Linked DNA regions of Oreochromis niloticus. The protein of the gene in region 2 purifies or fractionates together with the protein of the main gene of each other region. This does not show direct contact. Links are inferred from orthologs where the notes say so. Each region holds a gene or a part of one and is shown on either strand. Other genes may lie near its edges. The genes, in order: 7SK snRNA methylphosphate capping enzyme, cdk9 and immt.

Region 1 (8,500 bases), on a different chromosome or scaffold from region 2:
CATAGTTTTGATGGCTTCAGTGAGAATCTACAAAGTAAAGAGTCATGAAAATAAAGCAAAACCATTAAATGAGAAGGTTTGTCCAAACTTTTGACTCGTAGTGTACATTGTTTTTTTTCCAATTTCCTCCTAGTTTGTTCATTTAGTGTTTAGTTTTGTTCAGTTTTTTTGGGAAGCATTTTGCAACGCTGGTTTTGATAAGTGCTATGCAAATAAATTTTTACAACCAATTGCCGTATGGATTCATCATAATACCTTTTAATATTTAGCCACAGCTCAACTAATGTGACAGAAAAAGAAAAGGAGCCACTGACATGATTAAATGTAAAGGTCAGTTTTTTTGAGATATAATACTATATAACTGTTTTATAGTGGGGAAGAAAAAAAAAGGTCACAGTGAGAGGAAGTGTGTGCACAATTTGCATCAAGTTCTCTTGAGAGGCTGGTCAGTCCTCATAATGCACTCACATTTTTGTGCATTTTTACACATTTTATTCAGTTACCCTAACATTAATTTATAAAGCAGGACACACACAATGTCTAAATTTTTCTGAATTTGCCATCTAGGTTCAAAATATGCAGCAACACAGAAATCTGAGCCATATTCCCGAAAGGAAAAAAATAAATAAAAAAATCCTCTCTTACCTTGACGAAGGACACATTTGAAGGAAACTCCCCAGGCTGCACCGTGGATGTTTGTGTTAGCGGGGGTGCAGCAATGGGACCCCTGGAGATCCGTAGGGATACAGGAAAAGAGCAGCTCTCAGAGTGATCAGCGGGGGGTGAATCACAGTCTTCTTGCTCCATTTCCTCTGTTTTGCTGCCCTGCCTCTGGGTCTCCATCTCATCCGTGTGACACGACTCATTGTCATTTCCAGTATCTGCAGGGCCACTTTCTCCTTTCACAGGTTTCCCATTTTCGTCCCTGCTCTCGGCTTCATTGTGCTCTTTTTCTGTGCCCGTGTGACTCGCGTTTCCATTTGTCTCCTCCTGTTTACTAGTCTTTTTGCCCTGCATTGCTCGCCTGGCCTCTTGGGTCTGCAGCTCAGACAGATAATGTCTTATGTTTTTACGAGCTGCATGTATCAGACCACTGTCAATGTCTAGGCCCAATATGCGGGCGGGTCTTAGCATTTTGGCGATATAGAGTGTTACATGGCCTGAGTTGCACCCTAAATCCAGTACTTCTTTACCTCTAAACCACTCGGGACGAAGCAGACGTAAACGAGGGTCTTCACTGCAGCCCGGGTTGCGGTATCCATAATACTTGTTGTAATTCCCATACTGGAACTTCTTCTGCTGTTCCTTTGTATGAGAGTGGGGCTGCTGGTGCTGGCGTATTCCAGGGCCTATTTTGGAACCAGATTTTGGTGTGTGAAAGGAATTTCTTGCTCCCCCTGCACCAAAATGCCTGTCTCCAGGTCCCGACTTGCCAATTGGAGTAGAATGGGTGACAGGGGGCTCCATTTTGCCCGAGTTGCGCCTTCGCTTGCGTCTACTTGTGTGCTGGTACGGTGCCCCTAAAGTGGAATCCTCCACGGATGCAGGCGGCATCTCCTCCTTGCAGCTTGCTGAGCTGCAATCTGTGTGCTCGTGGGACTCTGCCATGACACTAGAAACACTACCGGATTCGTTGTTGGATTCTAGTGCAGAACATGAGGCTAAGGTACCTTGAAGAGGTACAGAAGGACCTATTTTAACTTCACTTTTTCCTGATTCTGAGAGGTTCATTTGTGTGGCTGAAATCCCAATACTGCCACCACTCCCACCTCCACCCCCATGGTGCCTGTTGCGGTGTCTCTTCCTTCCTCCACTCTTGAAGGGAGAAGCCAAAAAGCTGCTGTCAGCTATCCCACTGTTCAGGTTCAGTGGGTCTGTGATGTCCCTGGGGATGAGTATCTCCACAGGGTCTCGACTTTTTGCTGGCAGCGGAGAGGATTTGGGAGTCTCTGCATTCAGCGCCTTGTTGACCTCCTCATCCAGCAGGCTGTTGAGATTCAGCGGGTCAAAAATGTTCCCACCCAAGAGGAAGTTGGTGGGCAGGACAGAATCGCTCTCAGAGTTGGCCCTTCGTCGCCGTTTGCCAGATGAAGGATGCTTGAAACTAGAATTTGCTGTGTAGCGCCGCTTTGTTAGCTTCGTTTGTTGTTGCTGTTGTTGTTGTTGTTGTTGTTTGGAATGATGAAAGCTATTTCTGCGATTGATGCTATTCTCGTTCCCTCTGGCTCTCTGTCCAGCATTGTCTGCGAGGGTGAGCGCATCAGTTGTGCTGGTGTGTTTTGGCGAGGCAGCAGTGCCCAGAAGAGGGCAAGCAGCTGCAAAGTCAGGGGTAGCTGCAGTTTCCTCCATCATCACAGACACACCACCGTAACCTCCAGGACAATCCGTGAGCTGCAGAGATGACGTCGAGCTAGGCTGTGGACTGCCCATTTTTGCTGTATCCTCATCAACAGACATCTCTTTTGATTTTCAGAGCTGATGAAGACATAGAAGGGTTTTTTGTTGTTGTTGTTGTTTTTGTTTTTTTTGGGGGGTGGGGGGCAATTTTCTGAGCCTGAAAAACAAAAGAAACAAAGAAGTTACAGGAAGGAAAACTGATGCCATAAACTTAACATTCTTTTAGATATGGTGAACAAAATTGCTTTAAACCTGGTGCCTCCTCATTGTTGTGATTACACACATACACACACACACACACACATACACACACACACACACACACACATACACACACACACACATCTGTTAAGTAAAGTAACATAAGTTGGCTAATATTACTACAAAAATATGCTCAAGGCATCCTGGGATGTCCAGGCACTTGCACATCCAAGGGCCACTGTATCTGTATTTATACCTATGAGGTGGGAGTTAAAAAATAACCCTTTACATTCCACTGTGATTTCCTAATAACAATACAGAAAATTCATCTTTTTAGATACAGTGAATCTCTTGGCTCACACCCTTATCACATCTGTATTGTGGTATCTGAAGCGTGTCTACACAGGGGTTGCTGACCTGAAAAGTTTAGGAGTCCCCGTCTGGCACTGTTACCCAGTTAGCAAGCTAGCTCTTAGCTTCTCTATCGCGGGCCAAGAAGATTGAAACGTCGAGTAAACGTTACGCTCTACTCCGGCCAGAAAGCGCTACCAGACAAGCACCAAAGTACCCACCTCGATATGCTGCTGCCCGAACCCCACTAAAATCGTGAGTCACACTCACGAAAGTGATACCATTTCCCAGATGGCCACGCGTAGTCAACAGGGTAGCAACCACCATCAAAATATAACAGTCTCACCTCGCAGCTCGCGGCTCTCCCCGCCTCCGGCCGGACTGTCACTACCCCGCACTCTCTCCGCTTGAGCTAACGTTAGCGCAGCTAGCACACAAGTGTCCCTACAGCGACACAACAGTGCTAAGCTACGCAAACAAGCGAGCAGGCACGGCTCGGGTATCCTGCACTGGCCTGTAGGCAGCAAAGGCTCCGGTGGCCACGAAACTGTCTTGTCGACTTCTTCAGTCAACTCCTAGTGGGCCAGTGTGAGGCAGGTTGGTGAATAAATTATTCCATTCGCTGACAGAGGCGGCATGGCGGCGCATCCGGGCTCCGAGCTGTAGCCCAAGATGACTGGGGCGGAGATCTCTGACTGGTGGCTGCGAGGCGGTGAGGAGAACTCCCCTCTACGATATTATAATGAGCCTCCTACTGCAGGTAACATTAGAGCCGATGATAGTTTTGTTATTGATTGATTAGCAGCTTAAATTTAATTCATTTATTAGACAATATATGAAAGGGAACAACTTAACAAAACAGGAGGGCTGAGGGACACTCTAAAGTGAACATAGAGCTTTCCCGCCTTGGTTAACTACCCTGACTATCAATTCAGCTAGTTGAGATTAGTTTCTTTGTTGCTACTCGATTATTCGACTAATTTGTTTAGTCCTAAAGTCAGACTTTAATCCATACACCCTTACAGCCCTAGTAGACTAATAGTAGAGTAGGCCTTATTAGTAACCTGAGTATTGCATAGCCTGCACATTAGGTTTTTATAAAGTTTACTGATAAGCAGCAACCTCACAGTTTCCTTTTGTATGTTCTTTCCCAACTGATGTGCATGCACTTTTGCAAATGCACGTTTCTAATTATGCATGTCAGAGGTATCAAACATGAGGACTGGGGGCGAGAATCAACCGGCAAAAGCAGCCCACTGAATGGCTTTGGAAAATGTGAAGGAGGACGTAAACTATTTATATTCAACAGAATTTTAACAACTTCTACAGCGTTCCCCCGTGCCTTGGCCATTTATACTACAACAAAGTAAATAATACACAAACAATTAAAAAACATAAAGTTCCAGTTTTTCACTATCTACTGTAGAAATGTATGATTTTTACAGTGGGTTAATCGTATAAATAAAAGACATTCAAGACATTGACAAAATGTTTTTGTTTCAACATTTTAGAACAGTCTTTGCAATTTTTCTCTAATTTTACACATTTATTTTTTATGCCCTTTTTCCCCTAGTATTAAAATATTTCAAACATTAAATATGTAGTGGCCAAACAATCCCTGTAGTTATAATCCCTAAAAATCACAGCTACTGCCTTTTCCTCACACACACACACACACACACACACACACACACACACACACACACACGTCCTCTTTTTAGTACAGAGTTTTGTAACATGAAGGTATATAGTGTGATGAGAGCTCACACTACACATCTTCAGGCATAATCACACCCTTTGTAGCTACATGCATACCTTCATAGGGTGTGAACTTATTTTTGCTTTTAGTTTTGAAACTGGATGCCTCTGTCCCACTGCAGCCTTTGCTTAACTGTCTGCATGATGTCAAAGACTGATTAACACAGAATTTCCTCACACTAAATGAAAATAAGACTGAAGTTATGGTTTTTGGAACTCATGCCCTTTGAACAAGTTAACTGATACCCTCGGTCCTCTTGCTTCTCATCTTTCTCACACCATAAGGAATCTCAGAGTGTTTTTAGACAGCTCCTTTAAATTAGAGAAGCAAGTGTCCACAGTTCTGAAAACAAGTTTTTATCAGTTACGTGAAATTGGCAAAGCTAAGCCTTATCTTCCTCCAAGAGACCTAGAAACACTTATTCATGCCTTCATCACCTCTAGACTGGACTACTGCAATTCTCTCTATTTGGGTCTTCAATACTCATCTCTCCATCGCTTGCAGTTAGTCCAAAATGCTGCTGAGCGTCTTTTAACAGGTGTTAGAATGTATGAACATATCACTCCAGTTTTACCAAATTTACACCGGCTCCCTGTAAAGTATCGTATTGATTTTAAGATTCTTTTATTTACTTTTAAAGTTTTAAATAATATGGCGCCCAGTTATATAAAGAAATCCCTCAACATGTATGACCCCAAAAGAGTGCTGAGATCATCTAACTAGATGCTCTTAGCACAACCGAGGTCTCTATTGAAGCATAGAGGAGATTGGGCCTTCGCAGCAGCAGCACCCAGACTCTGGAATAATCTACCAGAGGATATTCGTACTTCAGAGTCTATTCAGTCTTTTAAATCACGTCTTAAAACTTTTTTACTTTGGCTTTTAATTCGAGTTCAGTTTGAGTACCATCAGGCCTGTTTTATGTTTTTAATGTTAATTCGTTTTCTTCTCATTTATCTGTATTTGTTTCTAATTTATCTATATTTGTTTCCCTATTGCTTTCTCTTGTTCTTAACTGATTGTGAAGGACTTTGGTTAACTCTGTTGTTTTTAAATGTGCTATACAAATAAATTTTGAATTGAGTTGAATTTTGGTACCATAGCTTTGATTCAAACTTCAAAGTTAATTTAGATGACAGACTTTACAAGAAAGCCCTGTAAAGTGTGTCATAATTTCTATCTTGACCAGTGTTTACAGCAGGGTTTTCAAACTCATTTTACATGTGAGGTCAAATACAGCGCATGTCAGTAAAAATGCCCTTTCTGTCAGTTGGAATAAGTTTAGATGCACATTTTATTCCTGCCATATTTCAGTATAAGAAAAAATAAAGTGCAATTTTAACAGCACATCTCAGTTGTACTGCATGGTAGAGAAATGCCACTCTGTTTAATTAAAGAAATTTGTCAACATGAATCTTTTGGGCTTAAATTGTAAAACATAAATGTGTAAAATTACAGAAGAAGTTCTGGCAGCTCATTGTGCAGACTGTCCTGTAATTATAATGGAGAAAGTTTTTCTTAACTCACAAAAAAATGGAAAACAGAAATTTCTATTGTGGGTTGTGTGGGAAAAAAAGAAGCAAATTTTTTTGTAATTTAATTGTTTATCTATTACGTTGGTGTACTATTAAAGACATAATCAGTCAGAAAAGCTTTACAATTTTTGAAAGTAGACTTAAAACTCTACAATGTATGAGGGGTGGCTGTGGCTCAGGTGGTAGAGCAGATCAGCTACTGATTGGAAGGTTGGTGGTTCGATTCCTGGCTCCTCCAGTCTGCATGCCAAATATCCTTGGGCAAGATACTAACCCCAAATTGCCTTCAGATGCGTTCATCGGAGTGTAAATGTGTGTGAATTATGTGCTTATTAGTTGCACTTGAGTTTAGAAGTGCTTGTATGAGTGGGTGTCATTGGGTGAATGAGGCATGTTGTCTAGAGCGCTTTGAGTACTCCGGGAGAGTAGAAAAGCACTATATAAGAATCAGTCCATTTACCATCTCCTTCACATTTTTCAAAGATGTCTGATTCTGGGCCTTTTGTTTAACACCCCTGGTCTAAACTGAGCCTTTTATAAACCTCTGCATCAGCTAGAAATTGTGTGCAGTGTACAGGCAGCTTCTTTTCACTTCCATCACCTTTGAATTATAATTATCAAAATTTTAAGACACGGAAAACTTTGATTTTGGTGGTGACAAAGAAAACATTTACTGAAAATGATAGATTTTCAGTGAAATGATAGATTTTCAGTAAATGTATAGCTTTGTCCGTCATTGAAACAGAAACCCTAAATGCATAAAAAAATAGGTGTGAACTGAACTAAGCCTCACTGTGTTATGGCCGCGATGTTGAGCTGATTTTACATCATGTCCACAGTAAAGTTACATAAAGTGAGCTTGACCTAAATCATAAATGTTTGAAGTTATAGAAAAGGTTCTGGTAGTTCATTATTCAGGCTGTCCTGTTATTATAAATTAAAATATGAAGTTTATACTAACTCAAAGAAAACGTCCGTGTACTTTGATTTTGGTGGATGGATCAAGTAAAAGTTGTAAAAGGTATGAAACTACAATTAAAAGTTCAAAAAGCACTCCTTGACATTTTATAAACTGAGTGGGCTGGGTTGGAGTCCTCTTTGTTATCATTTTTAAGCAGGGGCAAGAGATACTGGGATTTCTTTTATCTTGATTTTAAAACCTTTTGGAAGATAACATACTCACTTAAAATAACAGTTAACAGTCCAACCCTAAAGTGAATCTCTGGACATGTCATGTTTTATACCCTGTATTTTTTTAGCTAGTTTTTTTTTTCAGTTTGGTTTTCTATAATACAAATTAAATGGAGGTAGCACGGTGGTCCGGGGTCTTTCTGTGTGGAGTTTGCGTGTTCTCCCCGTGTTTGTGTGGGTTCCCTCCGGGTACTCAGACTTCCTCCCACCGTCCAAAGACATGCAGTTTGTGGGGATAGGTTAATTGATTAATCCAAATTTCCTATAGGTGTGAATGCGGGAGTGAATGTGAGTGTGAATGGTTGTCTGTCTCTGTGTGTTGGCCCTGCGACAGACTGGCGACCTGTCCAGGGTGTACCCCGCCTCTCGCCCTATGACAGCTGGGATAGGCTCCAGTGCCCCCCGCGACCCTGAAAAGGATAAGCGGAAGCGAATGGATGGATGGATGGATGGATGGACAAATTAAATGTAAAGTAAGCTATGGTACAATGAAGCCAAGACAAGTTGTGAAACATGTTTACTGAGCAGGCCAAGTCAAATTAAACTCCTTTTCCTTTCCCCAGCGATACAGACTGATATATAATATTAAAAGCAGTATTATTGTGCTTATTAATGTGCAATATATATTTGTGTAAGCTCATTATTTAGAGCAGTTTATTTACAAAATTAGTTATAAAGTTTCTCTAGGTGCAATAATATAACCCACCCAGTCCATCTTAAAAAAAATTTTTTAACAGCACTTACTTCTGTCTCCTTGGCAGCCTGTTTCTGCCACTGAAAAAAAAAAGTATTTAATGACAGCAAATTTCATGTTAAATTCCTTATTTTCTATATTTCCCCAGATGTTTCAGGTAGTATGTTGAAATTTTGAGATAATATATTTTACTTATGGATTGCAGTTTATTTGTTTTATTTTTATTTTTTTCAGAGGTGGAAACCAGGATCCATAGTCTCCCAGTCTTTTGTATTTTGTATCTTAGAATAAAAGATAAAGAGATGCTGTGCTGAGGGTGGTGCTATAGCATTAGGGATTTACTGAAGCTGCGTCCTCTAATTATCCAGAAGG
Region 2 (7,500 bases):
CGGGTCTTTGACGTAAGCTTTGAGGCGGTCCTTCACTTTCCTCTTCTGACCTTTGGGCAGCTCCATCTTCTGGTACAGCTCATACTTCTTGTCTACACCGGGCCACACCTGATGGGACAACAGAGGGTTAGTTAAGTTAACACAGAGCTGAGAAACAGAACAAACAGAGTGCGAGAGAAAGAATGAAGGCTCACCTCTGCCGTGATGGAGCCGCAGAGCTGGCTGATGAGGGTCAGCTGGTGCTGCTCCGTGTTCCCCTGCATGATCGGACTCCGTGTCCACATCTCGGCCATGATGCAGCCAGCCCCCCACAGGTCGATTGGAGGCCCGTAGTCTCGCTCACCTGCAAAAACAAAGATAACACAGAAATTAAAAAACTGCACCAGGAGTAGATTTGAAATATATTTTACTTTTTTTTTTTCCTTACCCAACAGCAGCTCTGGAGGTCGGTACCACAGCGTCACCACGCGGTTAGTGTAGCGGTTCCCCTGGCTGTTCTTGGCCAGGCTGAAGGCTCGAGCCAAACCAAAGTCAGCCAGCTTCAGGACGCCGTCTCTGGTTATGAGCACATTAGCTGCCTTCATGTCTCTGTGAAGGATCTGAGCAAAGAACAACAGATCATCATTAATATTCTGACAGTGGAATTTCATTTGGTTTAAGTACACACTGTGTCTCTGAGAGTCTAACCTTGTTCCTGTGGATGTAGTACAGCCCATTGAGCAGCATCTGCATCACCTTCTTGATCTCTGCCAGCGTGAACTTCACGTTGGCATTGCTCAGCAGCCCAGCCAGGTCATGCTCACAGAAGTCAAACACCAAGTAGATGCTGCCTTTGTACCTGTTAAACTGAGTGGCTGAAAAGGAGAACAGAAAATTAAAAACAGACCCCAAAAAACTGAAATCCACACAAAACATGCACTCGTGTCACACTAACCTTTGGTCCTGCAGATCTCGATCAGATTGACAACGTTCTCGTGCTTGAGCAGTTGAAGGATTTTGATCTCTCTCAGAGCTGTGATTGGGAACTAAAGGGGAGGAAAACCAGCTACATTATCATCCACACCAACTTTCAGCACACTGGATTTTAAATGATGCCAAGACTCTGGTTTCTTACCCCTTCTTTCTCGTTTTCCATCAGCACTTTCTTCAGTGCAACTTTCTTCCCTGTCTGTCGGTGCTTCGCTTTGAACACCTCCCTGTACAAGAGACAATTTTAGACAGTCGGCTTTTTAAACTACTCAACTCAAATGGTATATAGCCTAACCTATAGTAGGGTAGAGAAACAACACTGCTGGCATTTGTGTGGTAGACATGATCTCAGTCCACTTCAGACAAGAACTGCTTCATCCACAACATCATGTAAGTGGTGCAGTGCCGCCAGGAGTACTCAGACCTTTACAGACTAAACACTAGGGGTGGGTTTTGATTATCGATTTCCCAATTAAAATCGATTCTAGCTTGAATAACACAATATTGATTCATTAAAATCCTGAATCAATTTAAAAAAAATTTAAATGTATTTTACCCGAAACGCCAGAATCTCAGGTTAAACCTCACAGAATTTCGACAGCCACCAAACAGCTAAAAACCTAAGTGCGAACCCACCGACGCATCAGAATCAGTGAGATGTCCGCTTTCTCACCCGATGGCAAGTACACTGACACCCCGTCTGGGCTGAAAGCCGACAGCTCAAAGACTCTGATGCATCGGCGGGTCTGGATCCAAACTACGCTTCACATAAACATCGTCACGAATTCCCTCTTACTTTTGCTGTTTTGCTTCCACCACGACAAAAATGGCACTTCATGCACAGCTCTCTTCATCTCTTCTCTTCCCATCTAAAAATCTCGGTTTTCTGCATTATTCGCTTGCTTATTACGCACAAGTCTACCGTTATGTACAGCGCTGTTGGCCGCTGTTTTTTGTTTGTGTGGGGGTTTTTTTCTTCAACCGACTTCCAACAAGAAAGCCTCATTTCTGCTGTTCAATACTGAAGAAATTTAAACTTTTTAAAATTATGCAAAATTGCTAAATGTTTAGCTGTGTCTCTAATTGAACCTCTGTAACTTTGCTCGGCTTCACTTCAGCCGCATCAGGTAATGTTGATATGTTGATTCACGGTTTTCTTCTGTTTTTGTTCTACTGCAGAATATCTTTAAGGTGGTTATCTGCTATAAAAAGACAGGCGGGGAAAATCTTCATGTTTTTCTGTGTTTTATGCTCTGTTACTTTGACACAAAGGAATCTGCTGTGATGCTTACACCTCTGATAAAGTCTCACAAGTGTCAGCTTTTGGAATCGAACTGTGGATCGAATCGAATCCGGACCTTGTGAATCGGAATCGAATCAATTCTAGAAATCGGTGACGATACCCAGCCCTAGAATAAACACCCACAGAAGCATGGCACAGCATCGGAGAATCAGCTCATCAGGACAGAAGTCAAGCTGCCTCCCTTCCATCTCAGGGGAGAAGAGTTGTCCCTCATTGAGAATAGAACGCAAAGTCTTTTTTGGTGCTCTATGGATAGAGCCTGGTTTGTCTTCAGCATGTGGCTCATTTAGCCAGTCACAAATTATTCCCGTGCCATATCTTTGTGCCCTGTTGTTTCAGTTGATCGCAGCAGAAGACCATAACCCATGAAAGCTTTGCAACTTTACAAACTAAATACGTTTTAAAAAATATGTCGAAACAACAGGTATCAGCTAATGCCTTCCTTAATAAGCAGCTGGACTAATACAGGAAGGGAACTTCCGTTGTTTACTTGCTCTTCATTCACTCCGTGCGGCTAGCAGTTAGCACAGCTGGCGTTTATACGGAATTCGCAAAGCAGTTAAAGATTTAGTCAGACAACCAGCCTGCTGTGTACTACTCACCCAAAGGTTCCTTGTCCGATCTTGGCCATTTTCTCGTACTTGGAGAACTCGTCACAGAAAGGGAACTCCACTCCGTCGTAGTACTTCGACATGATGGCGGCCTCCCGATCGGGCCTGGACAAAAGGAAAATTCACGAGACTTTAAAGTGGTTACATCAAACAAGGCTTGCACAGAACGCGCCTCAAATGCAGGTGAAACAAACTAAAGCAAACCCGTTTGTTAAATTGAAAAGTAAATAGATTTAGTCTTACTTTTCAGCCCCGGTGGCGTTGCTTGTCTTGTCCCGCTGCATCTTGTCCAACTCCGCGACGCAGTTACGTGTGGAGCGTCTGCGCACGGCGTCACCTCTAGAGCTCAGCGACGCCCCGCCCACTGATCCGGGGGCGGGCTTTAGTTATTCTTTTTTTATTTTTAAATTTATTGTACCCAAAATCAAATACAAATGGGCAAAAAGCTAAAATAATCCCAAAAGAAGCGACAATAAATCAAAACAAATGAAAAATACTTAAGGCGTCTGGGAATGGATCTCAAAACTGGATTATAGATGGCAGACAGTTGGTGTCGTAAACCACCGCCTCTGTTCAAAGATGGTCGTTCACAGTGGACATAGATGGCTTCTTTCACTCCTCTTTCAAACCATCTGTCTTCTCTGTCCAAAATGTGAACATTGGCATCCTCGAAAGAGTGACCTTTGTCCTTTAGATGCAGATGGAGCTGAGTTTGTCCCATCGAGGTGGCTCTTCTCTGTTGTGCCATGCGTTTATGCGTGGCTGTTTGGTCTCTCCAATGTAGGGGTTTGAGCATTCCTCACTACACTAGCCTATACTACATTGTTAAATTTGTGTTTAGGAGTTTTGTTTTTGGGATTAACCAGTTTTTTTCTGAGTGTGTGTTGAACTTTATGTTTTTAACCACTAATCAAAACCAACGAACGAATCCTTCACTGTTCACATCAACTCTGTGGATAAAAACACCACAGTTCACCAGGGAAGACACAAAGGACAACAGTTTGCCATTTCTAGACTGTGCTGTGCACATTGAGGAGAATGAAAACTTCAACATGTTTGTTCTAAAACATTTGTTTTACAACATTTATAACATTTGTTTTACAACAAAAATGGAAGCCACCTTCTTCCCCTTCTCCCAGCACCAATCATCAGATTTGAAAAACTAAATAATTAGTTTTTTAGTTTTCACTGTCAGATCAGTCTTTTAGGTAAGATCCTTAGTATATTTCTGTCTTACCTCCCAGGGAAAACAGCAAAACAAGCAAATATTTTCATATATTGTAGTCCCAAACTCCTGAATTTTATTACAAAATGATGGCATATGTACAAAAGACTCAGGATTTTTACAGTAGTATCATACATAATCTGTATGGTGTCCAATAAAAGCAATGCACAATCTTAAAGTGAAGAAATTATCCCTCGCATCACTGGAAAGTATTTGAATGTTTCTAAATATCCTTCCCCACTCTTTTATTATCCCATTTCAAACTTAAATGACGGTCCCAGGTCTTCTTGAGAGCTAAAAGCTTCATTACCCAGTTTCTGAATCACCAGAGAAAATACACAAAGTATTTTATCAAACCGACTGTGCACAGGTGATAATGGAGGAAAATGAGGCTGTTAAATACCGTACTGAAGTAGAGCTGGAGGTTAAGTGCATAATAATAAACAGGATTTTAGGTTCTCCCGACCCCACCCATCATCAGCCAGCCTCTGCAGTATGTAAACAAGATTATTTCGTAATCCCATCAAACCTAAATAAGAAAGGGGGATCCTGAGGAGTGATGTAATGACTGGTACTAATTTTTAAGATGTTAACAATCTCAACTACTGATGAGTTTAGTGCTGCCCAGCAAAGAGAAAATGTGTGTAGTAATGGATCAAAGTTTGTGCTTCTAACCAGATCTAAAACAAATGCTTTACCCCAAAATGATCTAAAGTTTTTTTTAAAAGCTTTTATGACCTGAAAGTTACTTCTAGCAGACAAAACAGAGACAAATTATCCAAAGGATCCCCCTGAAAACCTGTTTTTGACCTTCCAATTCCTTTTTTAAAGAAAGGCAGTGAATTACTGTTCACCAGGGTTTAGCCCTGAATTTAAGGGTAAAATCTTAGAAAACCGACATAACTGTAAACGTTTGATCAAAACTATGAGTCAAGATACAGTACAAATTTGGGTCTCCTTGCTTACTAGTTTACCACCACATGGGGGCGCTCTCCGCACCAAACCGGACTGATTGATAAATTAATAAACGTGAAAATACAAACCAAGACATTCTGACGACCGCAAAGCAGCAAAAATGCTCATGTAAATTAATAAATAATGATTATGTGTCATAATGAAAACATATATCAAACTAATTTAAGGAAAAAAATACTGATACTGATCTAATCTCAGGTCGTTCTGAAAATTTCCACAGCTAAAAATGAAAGCATGCCATTTATAATCTGTAGATACAACCGTGCCAAAAACAAACAAACAAACAAACAAACAAACAAATGAAAACATTTATCAAAATTAATAGTGTTATAATGATTTATTATAAGCATATTATTGCGTATAATATATAATAATAATATAATATATTATATACTAAATAACTCCAACCAAGATTCTCAGCGGATCATCTTCCTCCATCTCACCCTGTACCTACCTACTATCCTTCACCACATCCATGGCCCTCATCTGTAGTCTTCCTCTTTTCCTCCTGCCTGGGAGTTCCATCTTCATCATCCTTTGTCCAATATAGTCACTCTCCCTCCTGTGCACATTTCCAACCCATCTCATCCTTGCCTCTATAACTTTGTTTCTAAACAACTCAATCTAAGCTGTCCCTCTGATGTACTCATTTCTAATCCTGTCCATTCTGCTCACTTCCGTTAAAATTATATATTTTATTTGCTCATTATTATTATTACTTACGGTTTTGTTCTTTTCACATTCATATTTTCCAAAACCGTAGAGTAGGTCGGATTGGAGACTGTCAGCCGATTATGCCCCCCCTGGCCTTATCGAACACGCTTACTTTATATTTTCTTTTTAAGAAAAGCTTATTTATTGTTTATTATTGTTCGTGTTTTTTATTTGTTTGCGTTTTCACGTTTTTTTTTATAAATAAGTAAAAATGACGGGGGCGTGTTCTGACGTCATTACGCTTGAAAAACGAGCCTTCCATATTTGGTGTCCCCTTCCTGGAACAGCTTCACGCTTCATGATGCTGTGCATGTCGCGCATGCTGCGGCGGGGCTCGGGCATCGCCGCGCGGCTCGCACGGCGGGACCGGGCGCTCAGTTTGGCGGGTCTTTCGTGCCGGCACTACAGCACCGAGACGGCTCCTCACATCCCGGGAATGGAGTATCAGGTACGCTCCGTGACCGCCGCCGCTCGTGCTCCAGCGGCTAACGAGCTAGCTAACTGAGCAGCGAGGCTGTTTCCGAAAGTTTGGAGGTAGTTTTTGGGCTGTTTGGAGTTTAATGGAAACATGGCTGACAGGAGCGCGCTTTGGCAGCAGGGGGAGGAGGGCAGTTAGCTGCAGGCTGCCCGGAATCTGCTGTTACACGTTAGCTTGGACAGCTATTAACAGGTCGCGATGAGACTATCAGTGTCAGTGGCTAAAAGTCTGCGCTGGCACGTGCTGTGGTATTTCTGTGTAGCCATGTTATTTCTGTTAGTTTGACTCGTGCCAGGCTCACCTGACCTTTTCCTGGATGAACTCAGGTGTTTTTGCTGTTTCCTGTAATGTTAATGTGAGTTTTCCGCAGTTTCAGAGCTGGGACTGTCAGAGCTGTCCGTAGTCTGACCTCCACTCTATGCAAAATTGAGGAGATAAGACCCTTTTTATCTCCTCTTGCTGCTGCTTTCACGAGCATTTGGAACATGAAATTTTACACTTGGCGTCCATCATGGATTTCCTTCGGCCAGATATTAAAGAGACTCAATGAATGAGTTTATTGTCACTGCAGCAAAATTATCTTTCAGGATTTTCTGAGTCTGTTTCAACTGTAGACTGTATGTGAAAGATGGAAGTAGCTGTCCATTGACCTCTTGGTGTTGTTATGAAACCCGGCAGGCTCAGGGTGGATCAGACTGCCTGCTCTTTGGTTTATGATTGACGAGGCGCATATCCTGCTTTAGGCTCCACTGTGACTGTAATAATGACCATAATTCATAAAATAAACGCCACATTTTCTTATGTAAGACTTTAAACTCCTGATTGGCCCAGTGAACTGATCAGGAATGTGTTCACTGCAGTCACAAATCAATTAATGCTGGTTTATAGAGAACCAGAGGAGTCGGAACCTGGTGGCGATTAAACAAGGTTTAAGCCACTTCTTTATTGGTCTCAATATGTAGATTATTTTTAGACACAATCTGTCATAATTCTACAGAAATAACTGCTAAAAAAAATCATTTTTTATTAAACAAATAAACTTAAGTATACTTTTTGTAGTTGCCCTCTGCAGATTTAAATAATTTGGACACTTCAGATGTTTCCAGATGTGTGCTGCTATGAAGTAAAACCCTATATAAAATTTTTACAAAAAAATTTAACAGAATATGAAGAAATGACTGCTATGACTTCATATCCTTTTTTTTTTTTGCATGAATGAGTGTGG
Region 3 (7,456 bases), on a different chromosome or scaffold from region 2:
TTTAATTTGTAATGGAGTCATTTGGAGGAGTTACAAAATGTGTCTCTGAAAGTGGTTTAGTAGATATACAAGTGTCTATAATGAATAACTAAATAATCCAATACTAGTGTTAGAATCCTTGAATTGCAGCTGTGCTGCATTCATCTTGGTTGAGTTCAAACCCACTGTGGTGGTGTACGCAGGCACAACGTTTGTGTACAAATACAACAGCCTCTTACTGTCACTGCACAGATACAGTGAAACTGTGGGTGCTCCACCCGACTACTGTGAAAGAAATCTAACAAAACAGAAATAGAAATAAAGCTGAAAAAGCACACGATAAAAGGCAGATGGTAACATGAAGCCACGAGTTATAATGACAGTGGGTGCCACACTTACCCTCTATGCTCTGTGCAGGCTTACTGGGGACGGGGCTGGAGTCTTTGACTGGACCCTCGGCTCCCTCCTTCTTCGCCGACTTCTTCACTTGTTTTTCTATCATAGAGGGCGGCTGGGCCAACTCCACCTTAACAGCAACCATTTAAATCAAAGCATACATTATTACAGTGTGGTTGTAGAAATATTTTTACTCTTTCTATACAAATATTTATATTGTATTGTATGGAAGTTTATTTGCTGATATCTTCAATTCTGAGTCAAATTTTAACAGACACACACTGGAAAGGTGGAGGTATGGAGGTGGAGGTATGGAGGTGGAGGTATGGGGGCTTCAACGCAGTCTGATCAGCCATTTTAACATACAGTAAACCATCAGAGAACAGATAGTTGCTCACAAATGGAGAGTCGGTAAAAGAAAAAAATGTTAGATTGTTCTTCCACTACCTGATGGTGAAATACAAACAAACTTTGTGTCCTGTAACTATAATTAGGATGAGCTGGGGACAGCACCGTACCCGTTTCTTTATGGGGAGGCCAGGATCTTGGGCAGGGGGTCCCAAAGCCAAACCCAGCAGCCAGTCTGAGTATGGGACGTTCTTCTCAACCGCTGCTCTGAACTTGTGGTCCCATTTGGCATAGAGTATGGTCCCTCCAATGCCACCACTTACTGTCAACAAGCCAGCAACAACCACTTTGGAAGCACTACTGGAATGAAAAAGGACAAGCAGACATGAATGAATGCCACAGGACAGTCTCGCTAACGGCCTTTGAGACGGGACGCAGCATTCTGTGTGTATCCTAGTTCAGCTGACTTTATGACACAACTTTAGGCCCAAATAGTGACCTCAGGAGGAAAACAATGTTGTAGAAATGACACACTGCTACGGATACCGCTAAAGATCTTCTCTTGAGGATGAGAGATCCACGTTTTGAAATGACGTGGAGCCAGAGCGCAGGGACCAGCGGGACACAGATTTGGTGGTCAGCACAGCACATGTCACATCTATGTGAGAAGCCCTTAAGAAGACAGTTGAATACTGTACTGTGTGTGTTGGTGTGTTACCTGCTCTCTCCTGCTGTGTAGTGCCGACACTGCTGCAGACTGGTAAGAGGGATTCTCCTGTAGTTCTTCTGGAAAGTGGTGAGGAAAGCGTGACAGTGAAAAGAAATCCATGTCAGACAGATCCAGAACGGACACACATTTATAGCAAGGACACCTTAGAGCAACAAATTCCAGTGCAAGCAACAAACTACCCAATGTTTTCCTTATCATTCCTTATTATCCTTGGATAAAAGGGTTGGGGAATTAGGTGCAGAGATGCGGTTCAAAAGGTAAAAACAGACTTTGTGCAACTCTAACAAGCCTGAAAATCAGTACTTTGTCTGAACACCTTTACTCTTCAAAACAGCCTGAACACTCTGAGCCATGTTTTCTTGTAATTACATTAAATAGTTTTCAGAAACAGAGGTTTCATCCTCTGTCAAGACGATGCCACACTGCTTGGATGGACACGGGTTAGTTTCAGAACAGCTTCATCAATTACATTTTTCAGTGGGAAGGTGGCAGTCAAGAAACAGACAGGGGTGTGGACTGAAACAGCGCAGAGCGCAGTCCTAGGAACAGCTAAGATACTGCGCAGGACCATCAAGCTATCAGGCCTCTGGCAGAGGAGCCGAGCTTGAAGGATAGACGCCTGCGGTGAGGGGGGGGGGTGTCGAGACTTTTGCGCAGTACTATACTGACAGGTCGGTCGTCAACATGTCGATGACAACCAGGTAATCAGCATTTGATGATTTCAGTTTTAAATTTCATGATATTCTTGTGACACACGAGCTTGCCCATTTAACTATAGCATAAGAAAAAAATCCAGTAAGTAATAAGCTCAGCGCGGTTTTTCATTTGCTGTTAAATCATAAAAATACATAAATTATCGTGATGAAATCAAAACAAAAATAAGCACAGAACTGTTGACTTACCATTTAAAACAGATCAGCAAATGAAGTACAAAGCATGATTTCTGAGCAGTAAACTGAACTCTTATTTTGTAAATACAGATTCAGGTGCATGGCAAACAAATCCAAGGTGAGTCCGGCAGAAACGAATATGTTACTGTGCGTTTAGTCAGGTGAAAAGAGCCGAGGTTCCCTCGTAATAAAACATCTGTGCAACAGTGTGACGCTGCAGACCAGAGATGTCAAACTTATTCCAGTCCACTTTAACAGGTGACAGCCACCTTTCTGTCACTGTACAGAAGTCTAGCTGCACATTCAATCCCAGAAATAGAACAAAGTTTTCGAGAATCCACATCATGCGTTAGTATTTGGGGATTTTACGAAGACAACCTGCAGCGTTTATTTATTCATTATAAAGTCTACGTGAAAACGCGTTTTTAAATGCTAGTGCCGCTAGTAGCATTTTAAAATACTGCTCCGGTTAGCTGTTATCAAACCTGTGGCCGATAAAAGGTCAAACAGAATGAACAGACAAGTTTTGGTTTTTGCCATGATGACCTCTCCGCTCAAACTTAGCCAAACTCGTTAGCTTGGTTATGGTTAAAACGCCATTATCCATCTGTCACCGGAAGAAAACCGGCTAACATTAGCATGCTGCGCTGATCTCTTTGACAGCTTCCACAACCAACTGCATTGCTTCAAATACAGCGCTCGACAGCACCGAAGAGTTAACAGCCCGAATTAGTCTACGACAAAATTGACTGTGGCACCTTGAGGCAGGCTCTGGGTCACTGAATGACAACACGCTAACGTTAGCCCGCGGCTGGGGAGCAGACAGAAGGCTTACCCGGGCGGTAGCATTAGCCCCTCTCAGACACGCTCTCAGCATGGTCTTCTCCTACTTTGGTTTCTGAGTTCGTAAATAAATCGACCTGCACAGAAACAGATTATTTCTTTGCTGCTCTTCTTCGTCTTTTCGCGCACCCTTCTTCTCCTCAGTACTTTGCGTGGATTAAACGTTTGCGTGCACAACAGCGCCCCCTTATGATGTTGCTAAATTACATTCGCGTCATTCTTCCATCTGACGTAAGTCAGACAGATGATCCTTATTCTTCCCAGCTCTCCTAAACTAAGCTAAACAGATTCTCACCAGTGACGGGCAGTTCTGGTTATCTATACTCTCAAGCACACAACACTGGTTTATGTGTGAGTTCATACAGTATTCAACACATTTTCCATTAATTACTACATCAGCTGTGTGAAGTGTGTCAGAGAGAAACTCTGGTTTCAAAGTCACTGTTTAAATCTGTGGCATGCTGTCCAACGGTGGACCAAGTTTTCAGCAGTTTTTAGCCAAAAATCACAAAAAAAGAAGAAATATTGATTTTTCTTGTTTGTTTTATTTGTTTTTTTTATTTCAAGTTCTATTAAAGATACAGCAGTAAGAAACAATTACATTTGTATTAAAACAAAACAAAACAGAACAGAACAGAAAACAAAAAGCCACAGCCCAATATTTCTCAAGGATAACTCAAAACAACACACATCATTGTCTCCGATTTTCCCACGTCCTTTAAACTATTAAGACGACCCCTCCGAGTTCAGACAGTTTCTATGCATCTGGAATCTTCTCAGGTAGAATATGAGAGATGTAAGCTCACATTTGCACGAAACTAGATGCACACTCCAACAGGCCTCTCACTGGTACAGCAAGTGGGGGTTTTTACATACCAAATTCTGAAACATGCTTGATTAAAAATGTAAAATCTTGCCATAAAATACTCTGAACAGATAAACTACAACAAATGGCCCAAACTGTGGATGGAGAAACATATGGTGAAAACAAAACTCAATATTAAAGTATAATCAATGACTACCAGCCAAAGACACAGCAGAGTGATGCTGTGTCCACACAGACTCTTAGCTGACAGCTGGAGCAGTTTTTCTGAGTGGACTGTGTGAAGTCGATGTCGGGGGGAAGACTCAACCATTCAATAACAAGCTATGACATATTAGGCTCTGCTGTCCTTTGTACTTTGACCGGAGTACCGCAGTCTTCATCCTGAGCAACACAACACAAACAACATCATTTAATACAGTGTTTGTAAGGGTGGCTTTCTCATCTGTTGATTAAACTTTGCACAAAAAGTAAGGAGACCTGTGTTTCTTCCCATTGGACAGCCTGGTTGTTTCCCCTTAAATGGGCCACATTTGTAAAGAAAAAATCCATTCGTGGGTTAAACAGCAGAGTTGAGTAAAGAGAAAGCTGAGCAAACACGTTTCCTTTCTTTTTGTGCCAAGTTTATAAGCAATCCCACCATCATCATCTTTATTTTCTTAAAAACTGATGGATCATCTAAACAATGGACCAAATAAATATTTAAACCAAGGTTCCAGAAAGATTTAGTCAAAACCTCTTAAACAAACTCTACAATCGTTACTTGTCCGTCAGTCGTCAGCACGTGTGTGGGCCTCAACATTTCAGCAGCACCTAAATGACTTCCACTCACCTCCACTGACAGGCTGTGTATCGGCAGCGAGGTCTGGCTGTTCTGGGAGTCAGTAATGGTTGGGAAATCTAGTTCAATGTCCATTACATCATCAAGGTTGAGCTCCTCACTGGTGGGACAAGGAGAAATCATACATGAGGACGGCTTTCAGCTGACTGACGACGTGCAGAATGTGTACGAGTGTCTTACACGACATCGAGGGTCTTGTCCTGGCCTTCCTCTGCAGGGGGGTCCCAGGCATGTAGTTTGACCTTCCACAGTTTGATCTGCTGGTCCCAGGAGCGACGACTGTACTTCCTGAACTTATTGGGAGTTTTTGGATGAACGCCTGGCTGACGCATGTGTCTGAAAACAAGAAACGCGGGGATTAACGTTGACCAGTGTATTACACACACAAGCAGTGGACAGGCTTTACACTGGATGTTCCACAGCATGCGTTTCTGTTGACCTACTTAGGAACTTCTTTGATGTAGCGGTCGTAGGCCAGCGTGTTCTTGCCATAGTTGATCTGTTTCTGTCGTCGTAGTAACACAGCTTCATCGGTTTCCAAGTTATCTCCCTCTCTGGAGTCACAGCTGAAGCACAGACACATTTAGTCCACATTCACATGCACACAATACAAAAATAGAGGCACAACTAACATTCATCACGAAAAGAGCCCGACTTCCTTCATAATGATTTTATTCTAAAATGATTGTAAACACAAAGTTGTTGAAAAATGAAAAGGTTATTGTCATGTTAAACAAACCTGTGTTACTGTTTAATGGACAAAACTACATTAGTAATGAGTTCAAAGCCCATGACATGATATAATACAATGTAACTACGTAACAGTAACTATGTAACAGTAGTCTGGAGTGTGTTGAGATGTCAGTAAGACTAGAAAAGTTCTGACAAACCAAAACTGGATCAGTTCAGGATTTGGGGAAACAGCAGTTAAAGCCATATTTGACACGTCGTCGTGTTTCAGCCTCGCTGTCACAAGGACAGAAAACCCTCATCGTCTCATAGCAGATATGATATTTATCACATCATATTTTGATGCTGAGCACTTTACTTTTGTTACCATATAACTGAGCTCCATTAGTGCAATCTGTTTTACCTTACTCGCCACTTTGTTCAGTGATACTGCGTTGATTTTATTTCATGTTTCCATTATTTTGGGGATGAATACGTTTTGTCTCGTCTTATTTAATGTTAATAATTGCACACTTGTATAGCTGCAGGTGGATGTGTGGTTTGAGAAGTGAGTGTTCCATCAGTTCATGAATATTCTGAGTTGAAAGGTCTGTGAGAGAATGAGATACCTTCCAGAAGAGCCAGACGAGGCCCTTCTCTCCCTCTGGGTGAATTCTGCCCCCAGTATCCTCCTCCTGTAACTGAACACAGTGCAAACAGTGAGTCTGCAATCCAAAACAGGAAGCCAGTCTCTGCTTTCAGGTGCTTAAAAAGACAACTGAAATAATGTAGAAACTGTTTAATTACCGCTGCATGTCTCTGTGCACATCCCTCCTCATCTCATCGTCCTCCACCTGGCTGCCCCAGTCAGCCTGTTGACCACAGCGGGACACTGGACCTGTGCTCTCTGGAGTAGTAAAGCTAGGAGGACAATACCACAGGTTACACACACACAGGGATGTTACTGCTACAGTTCCTGCAGATGTTGTGGCCACATGTTGGTAATGGAGTCAGTAAGCTGTTTTTTTAAAGTGGTTCATGAGCAGAGACTGGCTGGCTTCACTCAGCAATAATGTAGTTTGATTTTTTTAAAACACTACCATTCAAACTAAAATCATTCTAATAATTTACCAAATATTACTTTACAACCACTGTGTTATTTATTTTAATTTAAAACAAACAAACAAACTTGTTTTTCTTCTCGAGCCTACACTGGAGTTTGGATGTGAACTACACAGACCAATGAAATTCTCACGCTGTTTACATTTGACAAAGCACCTTTGAACAGGGCCATTAAAGCTGTGTGGGTCTGAAACACTAAAACTGAAACATTTCCCCAACAAATGCCAAAAATCCACAAAGCTTCAGCCGCCTCATGGCTTTTCAGTTATGAGTTCCCTGCATTAATATACATTTATCACTTTCCACATTAACTGAGCTTACTCTCACCTAGCATGTCTGCGATCAGGGTGTTTGTAGCTGGAGTCGGCGTGTCCGTTCCTTCTTTTATCAATATCATCTGCCTCGCTGTTGCTCCGCAGGCTCCCATTGACGCCCCTCTTCCTGCAGTGGGACCACCGAGATGGGCCAAAGCTACACAAGAAGACACAAAAAAAACGTGTAGATTTAAACATGCCAATTCATTCTTGTTTTGATATCAGATTTCTGCAAACAATTCTCAAAAACATTCTCTTCTGTGTCAAATTAGGGAAAAAAAATCATGGCTGTTAAAAATGCAAAACCAGCAAATATGTGCAAGAACTGCAAACACACGGTGGGACGCACGGTCCCACACAGGAAAACACTCATGACGGTTTCACGTCTCCGTATTCCACAATGGCAAAGCTGCACTAACTGCTTCAAAATGCTCCGGGGATTTCTTTTGAACCTTCTTAGACAGATTAAAGTTTAGAGAAGGTGAATTTTATTTAATAATA

What was found.
Region 1: the proteins of cdk9 (region 2) and 7SK snRNA methylphosphate capping enzyme purify together in Homo sapiens (affinity purification with mass spectrometry; 10 studies listed by BioGRID and IntAct, counting the BioPlex papers as one, with this or other methods). This does not show direct contact. The link is inferred for Oreochromis niloticus from reciprocal best matches to the Homo sapiens genes CDK9 and MEPCE.
Region 3: the proteins of cdk9 (region 2) and immt purify together in Homo sapiens (affinity purification with mass spectrometry; 3 studies listed by BioGRID, with this or other methods). This does not show direct contact. The link is inferred for Oreochromis niloticus from reciprocal best matches to the Homo sapiens genes CDK9 and IMMT.

Annotation. Positions count from the first base shown.
Region 1 is NC_031975.2:12,332,404-12,340,903, reverse strand, and holds the start of 7SK snRNA methylphosphate capping enzyme, read right to left. Parts: upstream 3,435-8,500; 5' UTR 3,296-3,434; exon of another isoform or gene 3,171-3,295; intron 3,150-3,170; exon of another isoform or gene 3,016-3,149; intron 2,555-3,015; 5' UTR 2,458-2,554; coding exon 646-2,457; intron 1-645. UniProt on the Homo sapiens protein: S-adenosyl-L-methionine-dependent methyltransferase that adds a methylphosphate cap at the 5'-end of 7SK snRNA (7SK RNA), leading to stabilize it.
Region 2 is NC_031972.2:34,704,878-34,712,377, forward strand, and holds the start of cdk9 (cyclin-dependent kinase 9), read right to left. Parts: upstream 3,282-7,500; 5' UTR 3,168-3,281; coding exon 3,127-3,167; intron 2,989-3,126; coding exon 2,875-2,988; intron 1,197-2,874; coding exon 1,115-1,196; intron 1,026-1,114; coding exon 935-1,025; intron 855-934; coding exon 688-854; intron 600-687; coding exon 428-599; intron 344-427; coding exon 195-343; intron 109-194; coding exon 1-108. Other genes in the region: fpgs (folylpolyglutamate synthase, mitochondrial), read left to right, coding at 6,009-6,245. UniProt on the Homo sapiens protein: Protein kinase involved in the regulation of transcription.
Region 3 is NC_031966.2:2,141,049-2,148,504, forward strand, and holds the start of immt (MICOS complex subunit MIC60), read right to left. Parts: upstream 3,355-7,456; 5' UTR 3,221-3,354; coding exon 3,179-3,220; intron 1,510-3,178; coding exon 1,442-1,509; intron 1,084-1,441; coding exon 894-1,083; intron 506-893; coding exon 379-505; intron 1-378. Other genes in the region: slbp (histone RNA hairpin-binding protein), read right to left, coding at 4,334-4,393, 4,842-4,950, 5,031-5,186, 5,294-5,416, 6,149-6,220, 6,327-6,440, 6,969-7,112. UniProt on the Homo sapiens protein: Component of the MICOS complex, a large protein complex of the mitochondrial inner membrane that plays crucial roles in the maintenance of crista junctions, inner membrane architecture, and formation of contact sites to the outer membrane.